Drosophila melanogaster: one gene and its partners. The protein of the gene in region 2 interacts with the protein of the main gene of each other region in a pairwise test. Each region holds a gene or a part of one and is shown on either strand. Other genes may lie near its edges. The genes, in order: CG10257, bur and CG10616.

Region 1 (5,115 bases), on a different chromosome or scaffold from region 2:
ACTGTGAACAGCAATAGTTAATGCAAACGAAATACCAATTGTAACTTCGTAACTCTAATTTTTACACAGAGAACCGTTAACCGAAGTCGGGGGGACGAGGAAATTCTCTTAAAATGCGAACAAAAACATATTTATTTATTTTATTCATTTTCTACTCTGTATTTTTAACAGCAAGCAAACACAATCCGTCTACTGGCAATATAACTTTGTTAAGTATTAAAAAAAAACTTTTGTTTTTAATGCATTCCACTGTACTTACAACAACAACAAAAACATATATATATTTATTATTTTTGTTTATTTGTGATGGCATATATAGTGCCAGCATCTTTTTGTAATCCACATATGAATATTACGAAAAAATTATTAAAATTAGTATATATCAAAAATATCATTGTGTTGCGAAGGTAAATAAAATATTGTGTTTTTAATTGAAGCTAAAGATAAATTTCAGCAAAAATGTTACTTGTTAATGTATGAAAAGCAAATAAAAGAGAACAAATTAAGCGCATATTGTTAAATTTCCAAATACAACGCAATCTAAGAAAGTAATATTGATCAAAGTTTTTGATTAAAGAACATAGCAAGCAATCAATTTAAATGCAAAACAAACAGGACAAACTGAAAAACAATTTCAAATTGCACTTAAACGTTACCGATTTTATTAGTAACAACCAATATTCTTTAGCCTATCCCAATTATTATGTTGTTGTGTTTGATAACCAAGTTCTATGAGTAAGTTTAATTAGTATATAATGATTTTACTGAGCGTATAACATCAATTTGTATCTTCTTCAACTGATGTTTCCGACTAATTTTTTAAACTGGATGCACTTTTGGCATATACTACCAGATGCTAGCAAAATGAAATTGAAAACGTAAACGATAGTTGCGTTACAATTATGCATATAAAGAAAAACGAATAAAGTATTGTATAAGACAAAGTTTATGTTTTAATCAAATTGAAAAGAACTTTCGAAAAACGTTTATTAACAACTGGGCACAAATTCAACAAATGCAAAACGTTATCCTATCGTATCGTATGGAGGAGCCTTCCATTGCCCCTCAGTTGCTGCTCTGCAAAATGGAGACCGGCTCTTGCATAATCTCCTGAATCTTCGCCTCCGGAACTGCCACCCCATTCGCCAGCAGAGTGTGAACGATGCCATCATGTTTATTGCCACTTGAGCGTGCCTGAAGCACGAATTCCGTGTCCTGCAGCAGGAACTTGGTGTCTGTGCCGCCGTGAACAAAAACCGACTGCGATATGGGGGTAATAAAGTGTGTGAGTATGGTGTGTGTGTGTGTGTGTGTAGGTGGCAATAGCCCATTTCCCTCACCTCCTCGGTGCGCAGCTCATCGTTTACGTAGAGACTCAGCGTGTCCAGTTTGAGCATTATTCTATATTCCTGCGGCGCATCGGCGGCCGCATCATCCGTATATAGCCACAGTCGATATTGCCGTGTCATGTCCTCGGTGTACTGGTCGTGCGATTTGCCGTCGATGTAGAGGGAGTACTCGTATTTGAAGCCCGGCGCAGGATCAACGCGTATGATGCAGCGCGTCTGATCGATGTGAAAGGTGTCTTCGCCAACCAGTTTGAACATCCAGTCGCGACGCAGGACTTCCTGGGAATTTGATTAGGAGAAGAAAATTAGGCGGATGAACTTTATAGTTCATTTTGATAGCCCTTTAAATTGTTGCATTTGCTCTACCAGTTTATCACTCATACGCACCGTTGTCTTTGGTAAAATCTTCTATTTTGTTTGTTTGTATCGATTTAATTTATACAGTTCATATGGACTTAAAGTTTAAAAGCACTCTAAAGCACTAAAGCACTTTAGTAAGAAAGAATAAACCCAACGGTGTACTAAACATAAAAACTGAAATGCTAAATGTCGGTGAGGGATGACAGAAGTATATACATATATGTTTAGAAATAATAAGACCCAAAGAATTTAATTAAATATTTTTATCAACTAAATGAGACCTTTTTAAATATCATTCTGCATTGCTGAAGTACGATTACGTACGTACACGACCCGTAATTAAGTTTACCTTCACAATGCAAATACTTTACGAGCTCCAAAGCCACCAACCACCCATTCAGCTCGCTGGGAGCTAAAAAACTTACCCGTCCATTGACCCAAATCATGCGCCGCCCACTGGTTGTGCCATGTTCCAGCTCGATGCGGTACATCTGCGCAAAAAAAATAAAAATTACAAAAAATAAAAATGGGAATGGGCGGATAATTATCGCGAATTTCCATTAAATGTAAGTGGCGGTTTTGAAAAATAATCGCAGGTACCTTGCCATTGATGGGCACACACCATTGAGCCACAATATTCTGTTTGTTATAGCGCTGGTCCTCGGGCACATGATCCTGCGTCATCGTGGGCTGCGTGGACAGATTCTCCAGGCGCAGTGTGGGCGAAAGAAAGGACATGGGTCCGAAGCCTCGTGTCGATCTGGCTCTGGCCCACCGCCAGTCAATCAATAAATCCTATTAATATTTATAGTAATCGCCTTTAAAGTGCAGCCAACTAAATGGGTTACACAAAACCAGAGAAAACCACGTAGGTATAATATATCTATAATATTTGGGAAGTTCAAGGAACTCAAGTTTGTCTAATCTGCAGATCTGGCTGCAATGCACTTTCACTCCACCCCTATGTTTGTGGGCTTAGACCCCGAAATCGGGCTAGAATCTATTCCGCTCTCTGAATTCAACGGGCGGCGAGAAAACCCAAGACCGAACCGCACGTTGTTAGCGCCAATGGCACACTAAACAACAAACCACCGTGTACAATAAAAGCCAAAAGGAGGAGCCAAAGAAAAACTAGTTGGCCCGGCTGGCTGCCTTTGCCTTTTGGCCGGGCTCTCCGGCAGCCCAGCTCAGCTCTGTTCCGTTCTGTTCTGTTCTGGCCTTAGCCTCAGCCGTGCTTCTGGCCGAGAGTCGCGGTCGCGTTTGTCGGTCTGCCAAAGTGCAGAGCAACTACGCCGCGTGGCGCCAAAACAGAGTTGATTTGTTTCCACTAGTCGTGTGCGTGTGGATATGAGGCTGAGTGTGTGTACAGGGAAAGTCTCCTAAGACCTACACGCATATATTGGCCATACTTTAAGCGGCGATCTTTGGAATATAGTTAGCATTCAAGCCGGATACTTGGCACCCTCATACAATCCTATTCCTACATAACTGTAAAGTTTACATACCCAATCCATTTTCTACACAAATATGGTGCTTCTCCTTTTGGTTCCCGTTATCAAGTCTCCACTGTAACTACTTCTCAATACCCCCACCGAGTGTCGCTCGCATAAAAATAAACTTTGCCCCGTCAAGTATGCAATTGTTTCTGCATTGCAATTGGGCTGGCTGACTTTTCGGAATGAGCCTGGTTTTTCGCCAATGCCTCCGGCCTCCAATTGAGCGTAAGCCAAACAATATTCGTGCATACATATTTTATTCTGGATGACAATTATTTGGCCCTGGGGGATAGAGGAACTCACTGTGCCACATGGGCGCAATCGTCGCAAATTTGTCGCATTTTGTTTTGTTGTCATGTTTATGGCGCAACATTTTCTGCCCATAAATACACGCCGAAAATGCTAATGACCGATTGGGGGTGGGTTAGTAGTGGGCAATGGGTGATTTCTTTACGCTGCCAAAAGACTTGCCGCCTCCTATTGGTATTTCAATCGACCAGAAGCGATATTGATAAATGTATTTGGGCCAGATTGGGGTAAGGAAGGAGTCGCCAACGAAACGGGCACATCATATGTCAAATCAAGTTTCCCAGCTCTTGGCTCCAACCCATTTAGCCACCCAAATGTGTGGGTGGCAAGAAAAACATATGCCATCGCACCAGCACGCGAAGGTCACTGACAAAGCGCCGTTTGAAGTCGCTTACAGTTTTAGTTGATGTTGACGCTATCAAAAGGGGCAGAGTGGGTGGCGATGGGCGTGCTTTCGCCTTTCTCTGGATGTGAGTGTGTGTTTGCTGGTGTGTGAAGAAGGAAAGCGTTCGCTTGACAACAACAACAAAAACAGCGTTGGCAGATAACGAAACATTTGACAAGGACAAGGCTGCCCGCCGCCCATCAACTCCCCTATCAGCACGAAGCTCCCCGGGAGGCAGTGTGTTAGTGTAATTATTAGTGCTCTACAAAATAAATAAGTACGTATATTCATGCAAACATTCAGTTTTTTCCACGCTTCCTCGCGGATCCCCAGGCTAAAGCACTATGGGATATCTTGTGGATATCTGCAAAATAAATCTAGTTATATTCCACATCCAATCCTTAAGTATTTTAACTAACTTTGTACACATAAAGAACCAGTAAGAGGAACTTGCTCATGCATATATACCCTTAAAATCCATTTGAATGAAAAGGATCTTATGATTTTGCATCATATTTTTTGTAAATCAAGTTGAATGAGTACAAGGTTATAACAGAAGCTAAATCAAAGATTAATATATGTATATACTTAAAAAAAAAAGTTTGGGTAATATACCCAAATTTAAATTATAAATTCGTTCTTGTATATTATAATAAATAAGATTTAATTTATGTATATCATTTTTGGATTAAAAAATCATGATAAATTATATATCTAAATTATATTTTCTTATTATATGTGACATTGCAATACCTCCATATTTCATAAGGTATTTTGCCCATTTATCTTTTCCAGCCCATCGTGCGCGGTTGCGCTTTTTCGTTCACTACTTTCCAGCTGAATTTACGACCATTCCGCTGGTTGTTCACTTTTTATGCAAATACATGTGGCCAAAAGTGCCGCAACAGACAACATTCGGTGGCGCTGTCGCTGATGATGTCGTAGCCAGTGGAGCCGCGGAGCACGGTGGCAGGAGGTGCATGTAGCGGATTCTCCAGGGGGATTGGATTGCGTGCTTCGCTGGTGTCGGCCAAATGGCACACTACAAATGTCGCCGTCAATTAATTTTCATAGATAATTGCCTGTCGATAACGACAGCAGCAGGCGGGGACATTAATCAAAAGGCCGCCAGGCTGTTGACTAGATGGTTTTTGTACTTGGCCCTTTCGGCGGCTGGATGAGATTTAATCAAAAACTATGGCGAAATGACAAAGTG
Region 2 (8,248 bases):
GATTTCTTTTCACTCTCCGACAAGCCATCGTTGGGAAGAAGACGAGCCCTACTGGCTGCAAAACTTAAGCGTCAGGAACAGAGTACAACGTCCTTTGACTCCAGCACAGGCTCCTACACTTATACAGACGCCACTTCTTTGCGAAAGACCCCCATCACCTTCTCACCTAGCCCGGAGTTCATGAAGACCGCCAAGGCTAAATTAAAGTTAATCGCATTGTATGAAGATCACAAATGCTTGTGGAATCAGCGCAACAAAGATTTCTTCAATTTCGAGCTCAAAGACAGAATCTGGGATGCGATTGCCGATGAAATGAAAGCGGACTCGCCATCTGGGTTTTGGAAACATATGATTCACAAGCTTCGCTATAAAGTTGAGATGGAGCGCATACAAGAGCAGGGTGCAAAGTTTTCGGGTGAATCGCCGCAGCCAAAACTATTTTATTCAGATAATCTGCTGTTTCTAAATCACATGTTTGACCGAGAAGGGGGAAAACCCCCTCGAGAGATTGTATGTTTATAGTTAACGAACAAATCACTTTAGTATTTATTCTACTTTTTACTCAGCCAATGCATCTTAAGCCTTCGGGACCTACTCTCGAAAAGAATCCGTCTAGAAACCTGCGACATGTTCAGGAAAAACGTAAACGTACGCCCATTAGAGAAAAGATGGCTTCGCTTGAGAAGTTGAGGAATCTCCAAAATAGCAAGTTTGTTCTCTCCCGCGACGCTTTTCAAAAAATTCAAAAAATTACTAGTGGCGGTCCCTATTACTTGACAAAAACAAAGATTAGACCATAGGCCTTGATTTGAATATCTCAAAATAAAAAAATGCAATGCAAACACATTTGAATCGATTTTTCGCTTTATTACATTTCTTGTATCATAATCGTTTTGTTTTTCTGGTTTTGCCATTTTTTAAATATTGACGTTTTATATAACAATTCATAATTTTAGCTTACAATATTTTTGTTTTGTATTCTTAGAATCGTTTATGCCTTTTGCCATGAAAACACTTCTCTCTCTAGCAAATATACAATTTTCGAAACTTGTGATTTTGCAATTATTTATTATGTATATTATATATATTATATGTATATAACTAAAAATGCGTAAATTAATTTTTTTTTGTTTGTTACGTGGTTTGTGGGCACATTCCTTTTATCAAAAGGAACAAAACATGAAAATGTACATAAGTGTTATTGGCAAATAGTTTACCATCTGTTTTAGATCTTGATACACATACGTGCATCATCGATATAAAGAACCTGAATTGTTTTTAAATTTCGAAGCGGCAGTTGCAGTTCTGTATTTGCGCCTCATGAATTGCTCGTTTAACGTGTCTCTCTAAAAGGCAGGAGCAGCTGTGAAGTGCTCGAAGGCAAGGGTCGATCCGTCCGCCGTTGGATCTTTATCCTTCCTGACCGTCCATTGATTGGCCATTGTCCTATTATCGAGAGCCCGCCGCTTATTGGTTGGTTGATTATTTTTTCTCTCATCTATTTTTATGAAATGGCTGTTAAAAATTTTGGTTTGAACGCATCATTCCCATTCGGTGGTGCCCGGCGGCTTGGCTGTCAAGTCGTACAGCACCCTCGAGATTCCATCCAGCTTGGATATATCGCGTACAATTTGATTTAGGACCTTTGAGCAGGAAAAGATTAAATATACATTTTTCAGAAAGATTGAAAACTGACTCACTTGCAAAGGCATTTGCACGGATCCGGGCTCAGCCGGCACACCAGTCATAAAGTCGTTCGTTATGAACGGACGCAGCACTACCGACCTTCTGCACGAGGGTGTGCGGTTAATGGGATCGCGGTCAAAGTGCACGGGTATGAGAACAACAGGCATCTGCGAGATCTTCCGGTATAGTCCAGCTTGCATTATGATCTAAAACGGTTATGATATAATACATTTTATTTATTTCTATGACAAATCCACTTACTTCATTGGCAATATCATCGGCTTGCCTCAGCTGCGAAAGAACTACAGTATTCAGTGTGGTGTGCGTAATATCCGTCACTAGATACTGTACGGGTTCGCCGAAGATATAGCACACCCTGTTCACGTTGTGCAGAATTCGCGGTATGATTTTGGCGAGGAAGAGAAGATCCTGCCAGTTGGGCTCCTGGCTCGTGGATAGGCCTACTACGTAGCTATATGACCGTTTATCACCTTGCACGCCCACTGATCGGATGGGCAGCAAAGTTGCCTGGATCTGCGAGTTCGATGAGATACGCATAAGGTCTTTCTGTTCCGCCTCGCTCGTGGCCGCCGTTACGCGGTTGATCAAAGCATGGTTCTTCTGCAGTTTATTCTTGTAGTCTACAATCACGCGGATAATAACCTACAATTAAATAGTATATTTATTATAATAACTTTGACAGCAATTAATTGTTAACATGCCTGAGTTTCTGAGTAGTCCTTTTCCATGTATGCCTCCTCAGCGCAAAGGACGCGGATTGCCAGGCCAGGACCCGGAAAGGGTTGCCTCTCCACAAGCTCTTGAGGCAGGCCAAGATCATTGCCAAGGTCGCGCACTTCATCCTTATGAAAGTCGCAAAGGGGCTCAACCACACGTCCTGCGTTACGAAGCTCTCTGAAGAAATGAATTACAAAAAATAAGCTGATCACTAAAATTTGGTTAGGAATTTAGACTTTTGCTTTTTTACCTGATCAGATCCGTGTCATTGTGGTGCGTTTTGATTGTTTCTGCATTCGTGCTCACCATGCTAGAGGCGGACTCGATCAGATCTGGTCGGAGGGTTCCCTGGGCCAACATAACTTCTTCGGGCTTTAGTTTCAATTCGGCTACTACATCATTGGTCACCTTGACGAATATATCACCAATTATCTTGCGTTTTTCCTCCGGATTGTATGTCTGACATAACATCGGCGTTTCCACCACGGAGTACTGTCCGGGCCTCTTGACCTGCGTGGTGCCTTTAAGGAACGTGTAGCCTTCTTTTCGGACGATTAAATCAATGCCAATATCGCGCAGTGAACGCTCCACCTTTTCACTTTCCTTCTTGCGCATGAAACCTTGAAGTAAGGGATAAAATATTAGGTTTTAAAGTACAAATGATATAAATTCGGTATTCACCGAGTTAATGAATTATTTGACGTAGAAAAAATATAAATGAATAAATTTCGCTAATCTGTCTACTGTCATACCATTATCTACATGCACGGCAATTATCTGATGAGGGTACAAAGCACGGCGGAGCAAAGCTGCACAGACACTCGAATCCACGCCGCCGCTGACCAGGAGCTGTAAAATGTAGATTGTATTGAGATATTCATGTCTTGATTGAAAATTTATTTTCCCAAACTCACCAACACCTTATTGTTGCCCACTTTCTCACGGATATAGCGTATGCACTCCTCCTTTCGACTACCCATGGTAAAGTTAGGTGTCAGTTCGCAGATTTCGTACAGGAAGTTCGATAGCATCTGTTTGCCATTGATAGTGAGGTCCACCTCAGGATGGAACTGTACGCCGTAGATGCGTAGTACTTCATTGTAAATGGCTGTCACAATGCGGTTTGTAGACCAGCCACCAATCTTCAGATTCTCGCCTACCCTCTCAACGCTATCTCCGTGGGTTAACAGCACGGACTGTGTGCGACTGAGGCGACTGCGGGAAACGAAGATGTTATGTTTGTTAATTGCATGTATTAGAATAATTAATGGTAATGATAGATAATATGTTAGGCCACGTGTAGATCAGTTTATAAACTACTCTAAACTAAACTGTTCTTGGCTTTAAAATTGTTCTGGCAGCATTGTATCAGCGCTTAGGTAAACGCATTTAAGCCTAAGCACTTTCTTGTTGCTGCTTGTTTTGGGAATCAATATTTCCTGGCTCACCTAAAGAGCGGGCACGAGGTCTCGATCTCGATATTTTGTTGGCCATCCTCTCGAACATCCTTCTTGAGCACTGTGCCCCCGAACTCTTTGTTGATTAGCTGCATGCCGTAGCAGATGCCCAGCATAGGTATTTTTAGCTTGAACAGATCGGGATCATAGCTGGGCGCATCCTCAGCGTAGACTGAGTTGGGTCCGCCGGAGATGATGATGCCTCGATAGCCATTGTTGCGTATCGTGGCAGCTGGCGTATCCAGAGGAAGGATATCCGTCTCAACGAAGAGTTCGCGTACCTTACGGTCGATAACCTGCGGAGAAACCAGGACCATTTTAAGAAGAGGTTAAAACTACTCTTGGTTTTAAGCTTACCTTGCCGTACTGTGCTCCCGCATCAAGTATAACAATCTTATCATGCCGCAGGCCATTCTCTGCTGTGCCCAGAAAAATGTTTGAGTTCATTTCTTTATCGTTGCAGCACTGAAAAGAGCAAAGATTTGAGTGTCAGTCAAGCAATCGCAGAAACAAACACCGAATCTCGACTGGCTGGTAAACGCGCTTCTGCTGCTTATTTATACTCCAATTGTGGCTGCAATCGACGCTACAGAAACAAGGCTAAAAGCTGGCTAGGAGGTGGGGAAAATAGGTTTCGGATTGGGGCAATCGCGGAGATTGAGATTTGTGGTACAGAAGGCTCACATACCGGCAATATCTTGTGGAGCACTCGCAGAAACATTCAACATGCAGCTGGCCAGGACGCTCTACGATAGACAATAAACATTGGCAAATATTTTCTTGTCACAGAAAGATGATTTGTGCAATGTGGAAAGAAATTTACAAGCGACGAAAAACAAGGCCGAGAGACGCCTACCAAAAATGATTCGCTGTGCATCGCGACGATTACGTTCTGTGGGTATTATTTATTTGACCAAATATAAAACATTTACGTATATGAATAAGCCTATAACTTAATCTTAATAATACCTGTTTATTTAACCGTGGTTAGAATTTAAGACAGAGTGTATTCACAGCCAGCATAAAATCATAGATACCATAGGAAAAAGTGCTCCAAATGATCATAGTTTGGTTTTTTAAAATAATATTAAATAGATATAATTTTTGTATAATTTTGGTCAACAGACTGAATTTGGATTAACAACATGAAAAACGAATTTTTGTGCCAGGAGTATCTGTCAATGCTATATACTTCTACATACTAAAGTAGATTATCAAAGCATGGAAGTTAACATTTAATTTTATAGACACATTTGTCCCATCAAAGAATTTAGAAAAACAGCAGGTCAGGAACATGCTTTTCGAATTCCCGAAGTAATCGGCGACTTAGTACATATATTTTAAAATACAAATTTCGATGCATGAGGATGAGGATGTGAGGAGGAAACGGAACGTAATGGTGATGGGGTCAGGGGGGAGGGCGCCGGCTACTGACCGCCAGATGACAGGCGAAAATACTAAGAGGAGAGTGGCAGCGGAAGCGAGAGAGAGCGAAAGATGAGCGGAGAAAAATGGCAGGTAAACGAAAACAGAGCTGAAAAGTGCACAAGTAAAATAGAAAACAAAAATAAACAACAACAATCCAGGAGACAAATCGACGGTAGCAAGTCTTCTTGTTTGCCATTTATTTTCTCTTGAAGTGTGTAAAAACGCAGCAGCAGCAATATGAAAAGCCTCTCCGAAGGTTAGGAGTGCATTAGGTCACTGAAGCGATGCGATGTCTGTGATGTAAGCCGTGCTCCTCCTTTGGCTCTCTCTCATTTTTGATAACAACATGCAAGAGGTTATCAGAAACGGCACAAACCACAGCAACAACAACTAAAGAGGGCGGCCGCGTGGTTGTAATTTAATACACATGCAGAAGGCACGCACACTTACACACGTGGAGCCGCCAACAAGCGGCGCTTATAACCACAAAATGGCCACGGGATATATTTGCAAAACATTTAAAAAATTGCAAATGCGGAGAACAAAAAATCGCAACAAAAGCAAAGGCAAATGCGGTTGAAGCTAATTTGCGAATTCAACGGGCGGGGTGCGGAATTGTGGGCGGAGCAGCACCGCATGGCGATTTGGCTGGGATCGGGGATCTTTTTCGCCATATTGCGACTCTCACCTTCTCTCGTTTTAGCCTGGCTGCGGTTTTCCAGAACCGGGAAGTCCGTCGGCAAGGCCGTGGAATACCGTGACAAGCAGCGCAAGACTTTGTCTTAAGACGAAATTCGCGATCCGTTGTTTGCGGTCCCCCGTTTTCCTTCCTCACGCACACACTCAAAATTTCTTCGGCTGCTGCAGCTTCTTTTCCGCGTATCCAGGGCTGCTCGACACAGCTGGCGATGAAATCCCTGTGATTTTCACGGCTGCGTTATTATGGCCGCTTCCAGGGACTTTCCTTTTGGATTTCCTGCAGTTTTTTCGCGAATTAAAGCCGAAAGATGACTTATTGACGAGCGGATGACCATATTTCGGATTTGGGAAAAATCCAGCTGTGCTGCAAACGAAAAATACCAGCTGTGAACGTTTTTGGTATTAATATTTACCAAATAAATAAATTTATATTTATTTCGAAAACAATGAAAATTCCTTAATAACATTACATTACTTCTTTATTAGGAGTGCTTAAGTATTCTTTTAAATAATGAATTATAATTAAAATTATAATCTGTTTGTACAGTGTTGACAAACGAGCACTTTTTGTAGAACCATATACATTACCCGGTCACACTGAGCCCGCCAAAACAGATATGTTATTGCGCTTATTTAGAAAACCAAGAAAAAACACGAGAACACGTGAAAATACAAATCTACCCAAATGAAATGGGTCCTGCTCAGAAATCCGGAACAGATATTAGTATCGATGATGAGGAGGAAATACTGGCTCTGGAAAAACTACTGGGTGCAGCAGAAAACGAAAATACAAAATCTGCAGAGTCAGAAAAAGCAAAACCCACCGCACCCATTTTGGTGCCAAAACTACGAGAAGACAACAGTTTTGCTAATGCCTTCACCTTCGAGAAGATCGTGAAACCGGAAAAGCAGAAGAATGCTGCTATCATTAAGGAACCAGAGCTGGACTCGTCCGACGACGAGGAGGTAAAGAACTTCCTGGAACGAAAGTACAATGAGTACGGCAGTGATATAAACAAGAGACTGAAGCAGCAGCAGGAGAACGCCTACGAGTCCAAGGTGGCGAGGGAGGTGGATCAGGAGCTTAAGAAGTCTATCCACGTGGTTACATCCACCCCGCAACCCCTGAAAAATCCGCATAATCCTATTAAACGGCAATCGGCGGTGAGCACCACGTTTCAACGTCCTCCGCCAGTCGCTGCCGCCGTGGCATCTACATCCCAGTCAAGTGCTCCCGTATCTGCTGTTTTTACGGATCCAGTCTTCGGACTGCGCATGATCAATCCGCTAGTCTCCAGCTCACTGCTGCAGGAGCGCATGACGGGCAGGAAACCTGTGCCCTTCTCAGGCGTTGCGTATCACATCGAGCGAGGCGATTTGGCCAAAGATTGGGTCATTGCTGGCGCGCTGGTTTCCAAAAATCCTGTAAAAAACACCAAGAAGGGTGATCCCTACTCCACGTGGAAACTATCCGATCTACGGGGAGAGGTTAAAACGATCTCACTTTTCCTTTTTAAAGAGGCCCACAAATCCCTGTGGAAAACAGCGGAGGGTCTGTGCTTGGCTGTGTTGAATCCAACTATTTTCGAGAGGAGAGCGGGAAGCTCCGATGTGGCCTGCCTATCCATCGATAGCTCCCAGAAAGTCATGATCCTGGGTCAATCCAAAGATTTGGGCACATGTCGGGCCACCAAAAAAAATGGGGACAAGTGCACTTCGGTGGTTAACCTAACCGACTGTGATTATTGCATTTTTCATGTAAAGCAGGAATATGGCAAGATGTCCCGACGTTCTGAACTGCAATCGGCGACCGCAGGTCGTGGTATCAATGAACTAAGAAACAAGGTTTTGGGTAGGTAGACTTTGATTTTGAAGAAAACTCAATATAACTTAGTTTTTTCTTTATGTTAAGGCAAAAACGAGGTATTTTACGGCGGCCAAACATTTACTGCAGTTCCCGCAAGAAAAAGTGCCAAGTTAATCACCAAGGAACGTGATCGTCTGAGTATGCTGGCTGGCTATGATGTTTCCCCCTTCGCCCATACCGCTAACCACACCTCAAAGCCCAAAACAGCCGAACCCACTAAAATTCCATATGCAGAACGTGGCGGTCCTGTTTCCCGTTTGGCTGGTGGTGTGGAAGCGTCTAGGAAACAGAGAGTCCAAGATCTAGAGCGGTTGCGTCTGCTTAAAGAGGAAAATGAGCGCTTTGAAAAAAAGAAGCAGGCGGAGGGCCATGT
Region 3 (5,285 bases), on a different chromosome or scaffold from region 2:
ATAAGTTTGGCATCTATGCCAAGGTGCCCAACTACGTGGACTGGGTGTGGTCGGTTGTCAACTGCGATGGCAACTGCAAGATGCACTAGCATCTGTGGCATCTCGGTGGTTACTTCGTAGACATGGACTTGGGTCCGCTAAGTTGCAGAGGCTGTGAAAAACTAATTTACACTTTAAGTGTTCGAATCGTGCGAGAAATCTTCGCATGATCACCACAACACAATTATTATGTGCTCATTTTGAACTAGAAGTTGCAAAGGAACAAATTCGATTCTAATTTAGACAACCAAATAATTGTGTAATTAAAGTCTAAAGGCACGTACTAATTGAAAGTACTATTACTTACCACTTAATATAGTTACAATTCTAACTTGCCTAATGTACATAACTGAACTCTTAATGTTTTATGCTAAACAATTACTAATGAAATTATTAATTTCTTCTTTAAGGTTAATATAATTACGGTAGGCATAAGTTAAAACAGGAATCTGAGATTTAAGGTTGTAAAATAATTAATAAATTATAAATAAAAAGCCATATGAACTGTAAAAAGTTAAATTGCTGTAGCTTGACCACTAAAATACACTACAATTAACACTTAGATCCTCTTAAATGGAAATAGATAAGGAGAAATTCCCCTATAGGCGTACCAAAGAATCGCAGATATGTATATTACTTATTAGTTTATTATATTGGTGTTAAATGCTGCACAGTTTTGCTTCCACAATAAAACTATTTAACGTGATCCCTATACACATTCTTTTTTTTTTTACTACTACGAGTACACAATGAATTATAAAAACAAACGATCACAATAGAGAGGTGAGTGCGTGGGCACACATGCAATTAATGTATCTGTATAAAAACATTTCATATAAATTGGTTTATTGGTTCGGTCATCCCAGCATCCCAGCTGCCTACCGCTCGGCTAGGACAAAGTGAAGTGCCACGGAGGACAGGAGGACCAGCAGGGCCACTGCGATTCCCACCATGTAAAGGCTGCGCGAAAGTTCCGGCTTTGGCATCGAACTGGTCATAATCCCAGAATCGTCTATGCAATCAGCGTCCATCTTGCAATTGTTGAAGTGCGTATCATCCGGGAGTCCCTCTGCCTCCACGGATATGGTCTCTGGATCTAGATCCACGTCCAGAATCTGTTTAGCCTGGGCCACCACAACAGTTGGTGCCTCGCCACGGAATAAGTACTCGGAAAACTGAACTACTGCTCCGACCGACGCACTGGGACCCTCTGAAGGCAGGCTGAAGAACACACGTCTCGGCGGCTCACTAATGTACAGAGCTTCATTGGTCACATATGGATCGGTGAGTCCATCGCAGTACACTTGTATACGCGTTATCAGCGAACGGAGCACATCGTCGCGTAGGAAACGCTTAACATCTGCTATACTGTTTCGAGGATTGCAGAATACCTTTGAGGTAATAATGCCGCTCATGTGCAGCGTGCCACTAAATTCGCGCACCTTGATGTCCGTCGGTTTGCTCAGCTGGCATTTCATGGGGAGCACGATGCTCGCCCGGATGGTTTCAGTGCCTCCGATGATTCCTTCGGACGCAAGCCGCGGCAGGGAGTCAGTGGTGTTGCTCGAGGCAGTGGCCGTGCCACCTGTTGTCGATGTCGGTTGCAGCTTGTCCACTTTCGTCTTTTTCTTTTTGATATAGGCCTGCAGATCGATGGTGTCCTCGACAACTTCGTTTTGGAGGAATACTTCACTGGCGAGCAGGTTCTTGCGCACCGACACTATCATACTCTGGAACTGGTCTTCGATGTTGACGCGACGCGAGGAGTCCAGTATGGGCAGCACATCATCGAAATCGTAGCTGCACTCCAGCTGAATCCACTCGAAGGGTTTGTCCACAAACCGGAACTCCATATTGGTGAAAGTGCCGCCGCTATCAAAAGAAATACTCATATTATATTTAGGCTAGGAAAAGTCTGAATGTAATCAAACTACCATATAAACATGAACAATCCTAATGGTTAACTAACACATAAAATGCATTCCAAGAAATAAGAAACACAAGGACAAGGATAGCAAAGAAAGTGATTATTGAACATAGAACATAAGTTATGAAAGTACATAGTTCTCAACTTTTTAGTTACCATATGATGCATTTTATGTTTGCCGTAAAATACGTTTTTTTGCAATGTCTAGTTATAAATTGTAAGCGATTCGTTTGGTGAAAGAAAGAATACACATTGAGACCCGTATCTGTGATCAGGGATTACGTTTCCGATACTCACTTGCCATAGCTGTAGTTCTTGCAGAGCACTTTCTTGTCGGCCAGCGAATACGAGAGGAATACGAAATCAGTCTGTGCAATGTCGGTGGTGTAGACGCCAAACGAGCTGTTGCTTTTCAGGAGCAAACTGGAAAAGTAAGAAAAGAGGTCATTTCAAATGGAGACTCATATCATACTCATATAGTTAGTGACTTACTCGTAAATATCTGAAAACAGCTTTTTGGCATTCTTAAATTCGGCGCTCTGTTCGTTTACTACATCGGATCTTACTGAAGACACAAAGATTCCTGCAAAGATAAATAATTCATTAATAATTAATTCTAGATGGTAAGTCCTAAAGCTTCGCTTACTTTCATCTTAGTTAAGTACCTAAGTTTACATTACTGGTTTCACTACCCATTACTGATAGCTTAAAGATTTATCTATGACGAAAGATCAAAAGTTTCGAATTGACAGATTAAACAGTCAAATTGGGTGGGTTAGCCCATATACAAAACATACAAAAAAAAAGGGTTTGGCTAAATTTCGAATCCACGGGAGGAATACAAGGTCCCCATAAATAATATGCCTTAGCATTATGACTATGATTATTTCTGGGTAGGGCAGATAAAACTGCAGGGGCAGCACGCAAACCCACCGATGACGTCAAAAGATCCGGGACACATTTTGCTGGCGCTCAGCCACTGGGAGGCCAATGCCTGTGAGTTGATGTCCGAGATGGTGAGCCGGACCTCCGACAGGTCCTCCAGATCCGCATCCTCCTCGTTGTTCCTGGCCAGGTGGACCACCACGCTCTTGGTGAGATCCGCTTGCTATTTCAACCGAAGCGGATGAAACCAGGAGAAAGTGGAGATTCAGTTGAGCGGGGGAACCAAACAAAATCTACGTGGCGGATGGCACTTACATGGCCCACGATTATCCCGTACGAGAACTGGTTCTCCTGTGCGCATTTCTCCAGGTACAGCTCGTCGTGTTTGCTCAACAGCACTGTGCGCATCGTGGCTCTGGGGTTTCTGTTTACTTCGTAAATTTAATGTTAACTATATTCGTTCCGAAATGACAAATTTTTAGAGCTGGGTACACCCCCCACGATAGTAGCTGTAATCGAATACTTGCTATCGAGGCTAAATTTCGATAGTGAGCGATAGTGCTAAGCTATTCAAATTTGAATTCAATTGCTATTTATTTTCGGATTTTAAAAATAACGCCACAATCAAGTCCATTGACCTTAATTAAATGGTGTTTGGGAATTTATTTATTTTGAATGTGCCGACTATCGATACGCACCAGCTCTATGAATTGGTGTGACCGAAGGTTATATTTTAAAAGTATGGATTATGAGGTAAATTCTTATCGATATTTAACGAAGTTTATTTAAAAAAGCTTGCCATCTCTAGAAAACTGTTAAATTTAAAAATATATTCGAAATTTTAAAAAGTGTAATTAATAAAACAACATTACCCTTTTTTTTTACTAAGAATAACTACTAAATTTTACATGTTTGTCCAAGATTTATTTAAAAAGTGTTTCAAATACCATGTGCAACATCTAGATAATATAATATATATGTTTAACAGCTCCTGGCGAGGCATTTAAAAAAAAAAATAACATTCAATAACTGTATACGTATAAATACGTAAATATACCTTATTTAAATAACTCCCTGAATGTTTATACAAATTTTATGAGAATAGGCACACTTTACTTTTATCAATTAGAACATGATTGAATAGATTTATTTATTAATTTTAAGAAATTGACAAGCAGTAATTTAAAGAAGACTCTTTGATATAGGGTTGTTTATTATTGAAATGTAATTGCAGTTTACTTTTGATTTTTCTTTACGAATCGATAAAGTCCTTGAGTGTTTATTTTCCTAATCTTTAGACACTCGACTTAGGATATTAAGACTTAATTTACCTCCGCGACTGCAAAGCGATGAAAGTATGTATGTATGTACCCCCGTGGCAGGTTCTTCAATTAAGGCCCCCGGCTCCAGCAGCAACATAATCTCCATCTCCATCTCCCAATTCCGCTGCACTGCATCAGCTGCCGTGGGGCGATTACGCACGACGTCTGGCCGAAGAGCGGACCCCATGAGTACGGATCCGTGCCACCCAAATGGTCAAGTGGCCGGTGGACTATGGCGCGAACGGACGCGATCGGTAATCGAATTAGGTAAACAAACACTCCATAAGGCGGGCGTACGTTGATAATGTGTGCATAAGCAAATAGGAGACCGTATTGGGATTGGAATTGGGATTGGGATTGGGGCTGGAACTCTGCGCTGGACGGATGGATTGGATGGACTGCGATGGATGGGGAGATCTCGAGGAGCGGGTTGCGATTGCGGCGGCGATGACGGGCGAAAAAAAACTAAATGAAATTTCATTTAGGTGGTCGCCAACGGCTGCGGACCATCTGCTTGTGTGAATGCTTGATTGTTGAAGTGCCACTTGATGGGGCGAGGGCGCACGCTACTCGCGGGGATTACACTGGCCAAAATTGGGATCAAATGGTTACGAAATATGTATATACCATATATAACACTATTCCATAGAGACCATTGATTCAACTCTTTAAATATTGCTATAGATCTTGAGTAAACTAGTAAAAAAAAATCGTAAAAAATATTTTTAAAAATTTCAGACTTTAATTAAGAACTCTTACTGTCAAGTTAAGACAAAAAAATGTTGTAAGAAGATAATTCTGTTACTTTAAATTATCCCAGAAAACAATGGAATGAAAAATATCTCAGTGCTGAAAGGTTTCTTTGGTTGCTGAGCAATATGGGTCACCGGTTTACGCAATTTCTTACCGTGCAGCGATCGGTATCCAGATATTATTTACTTAGTAAATTATTCCTGTTCGATTGTTTGCGTTTGCTCTGGATCTCTGGCATGAGGGCACTCGAACGTCATCGTCAGCAGCGTTTCATTCATGATTCGCCTTTCACAAATCGAAGAAACATATATGCACGAGTGTTCGGTGCATTGTGCACTTTGCATTCGAACAGACAAATA

Evidence for each region.
Region 1: the proteins of bur (region 2) and CG10257 interact in a two-hybrid assay, tested with the Drosophila melanogaster proteins (one large-scale study listed by BioGRID).
Region 3: the proteins of bur (region 2) and CG10616 interact in a two-hybrid assay, tested with the Drosophila melanogaster proteins (one large-scale study listed by BioGRID).

Annotation. Positions count from the first base shown.
Region 1 is NT_033778.4:14,940,284-14,945,398, reverse strand, and holds CG10257 (uncharacterized protein), read right to left. Parts: upstream 3,002-5,115; 5' UTR 2,448-3,001; coding exon 2,310-2,447; intron 2,201-2,309; coding exon 2,135-2,200; intron 1,629-2,134; coding exon 1,341-1,628; intron 1,261-1,340; coding exon 1,066-1,260; 3' UTR 930-1,065; downstream 1-929.
Region 2 is NT_033779.5:21,173,333-21,181,580, forward strand, and holds bur (burgundy), read right to left. Parts: upstream 6,352-8,248; 5' UTR 5,998-6,351; exon of another isoform or gene 5,078-5,997; intron 4,347-5,077; 5' UTR 4,329-4,346; coding exon 4,239-4,328; intron 4,178-4,238; coding exon 3,873-4,177; intron 3,845-3,872; exon of another isoform or gene 3,708-3,844; intron 3,640-3,707; coding exon 3,339-3,639; intron 3,274-3,338; coding exon 3,177-3,273; intron 3,045-3,176; coding exon 2,675-3,044; intron 2,602-2,674; coding exon 2,409-2,601; intron 2,350-2,408; coding exon 1,948-2,349; intron 1,893-1,947; coding exon 1,701-1,892; intron 1,644-1,700; coding exon 1,542-1,643; 3' UTR 850-1,541; downstream 1-849. Other genes in the region: CG31627 (uncharacterized protein), read left to right, coding at 1-510, 567-800; Mcm10 (minichromosome maintenance 10), read left to right, coding at 6,699-7,860, 7,921-8,248.
Region 3 is NT_037436.4:12,469,811-12,475,095, reverse strand, and holds CG10616 (uncharacterized protein), read right to left. Parts: upstream 3,369-5,285; 5' UTR 3,260-3,368; coding exon 3,167-3,259; intron 3,075-3,166; coding exon 2,900-3,074; intron 2,550-2,899; coding exon 2,459-2,549; intron 2,390-2,458; coding exon 2,264-2,389; intron 2,171-2,263; coding exon 2,123-2,170; intron 1,912-2,122; coding exon 918-1,911; 3' UTR 817-917; downstream 1-816. Other genes in the region: CG10663 (uncharacterized protein), read left to right, coding at 1-89. UniProt on the Drosophila melanogaster protein: May play a role in the trafficking of a subset of G-protein coupled receptors.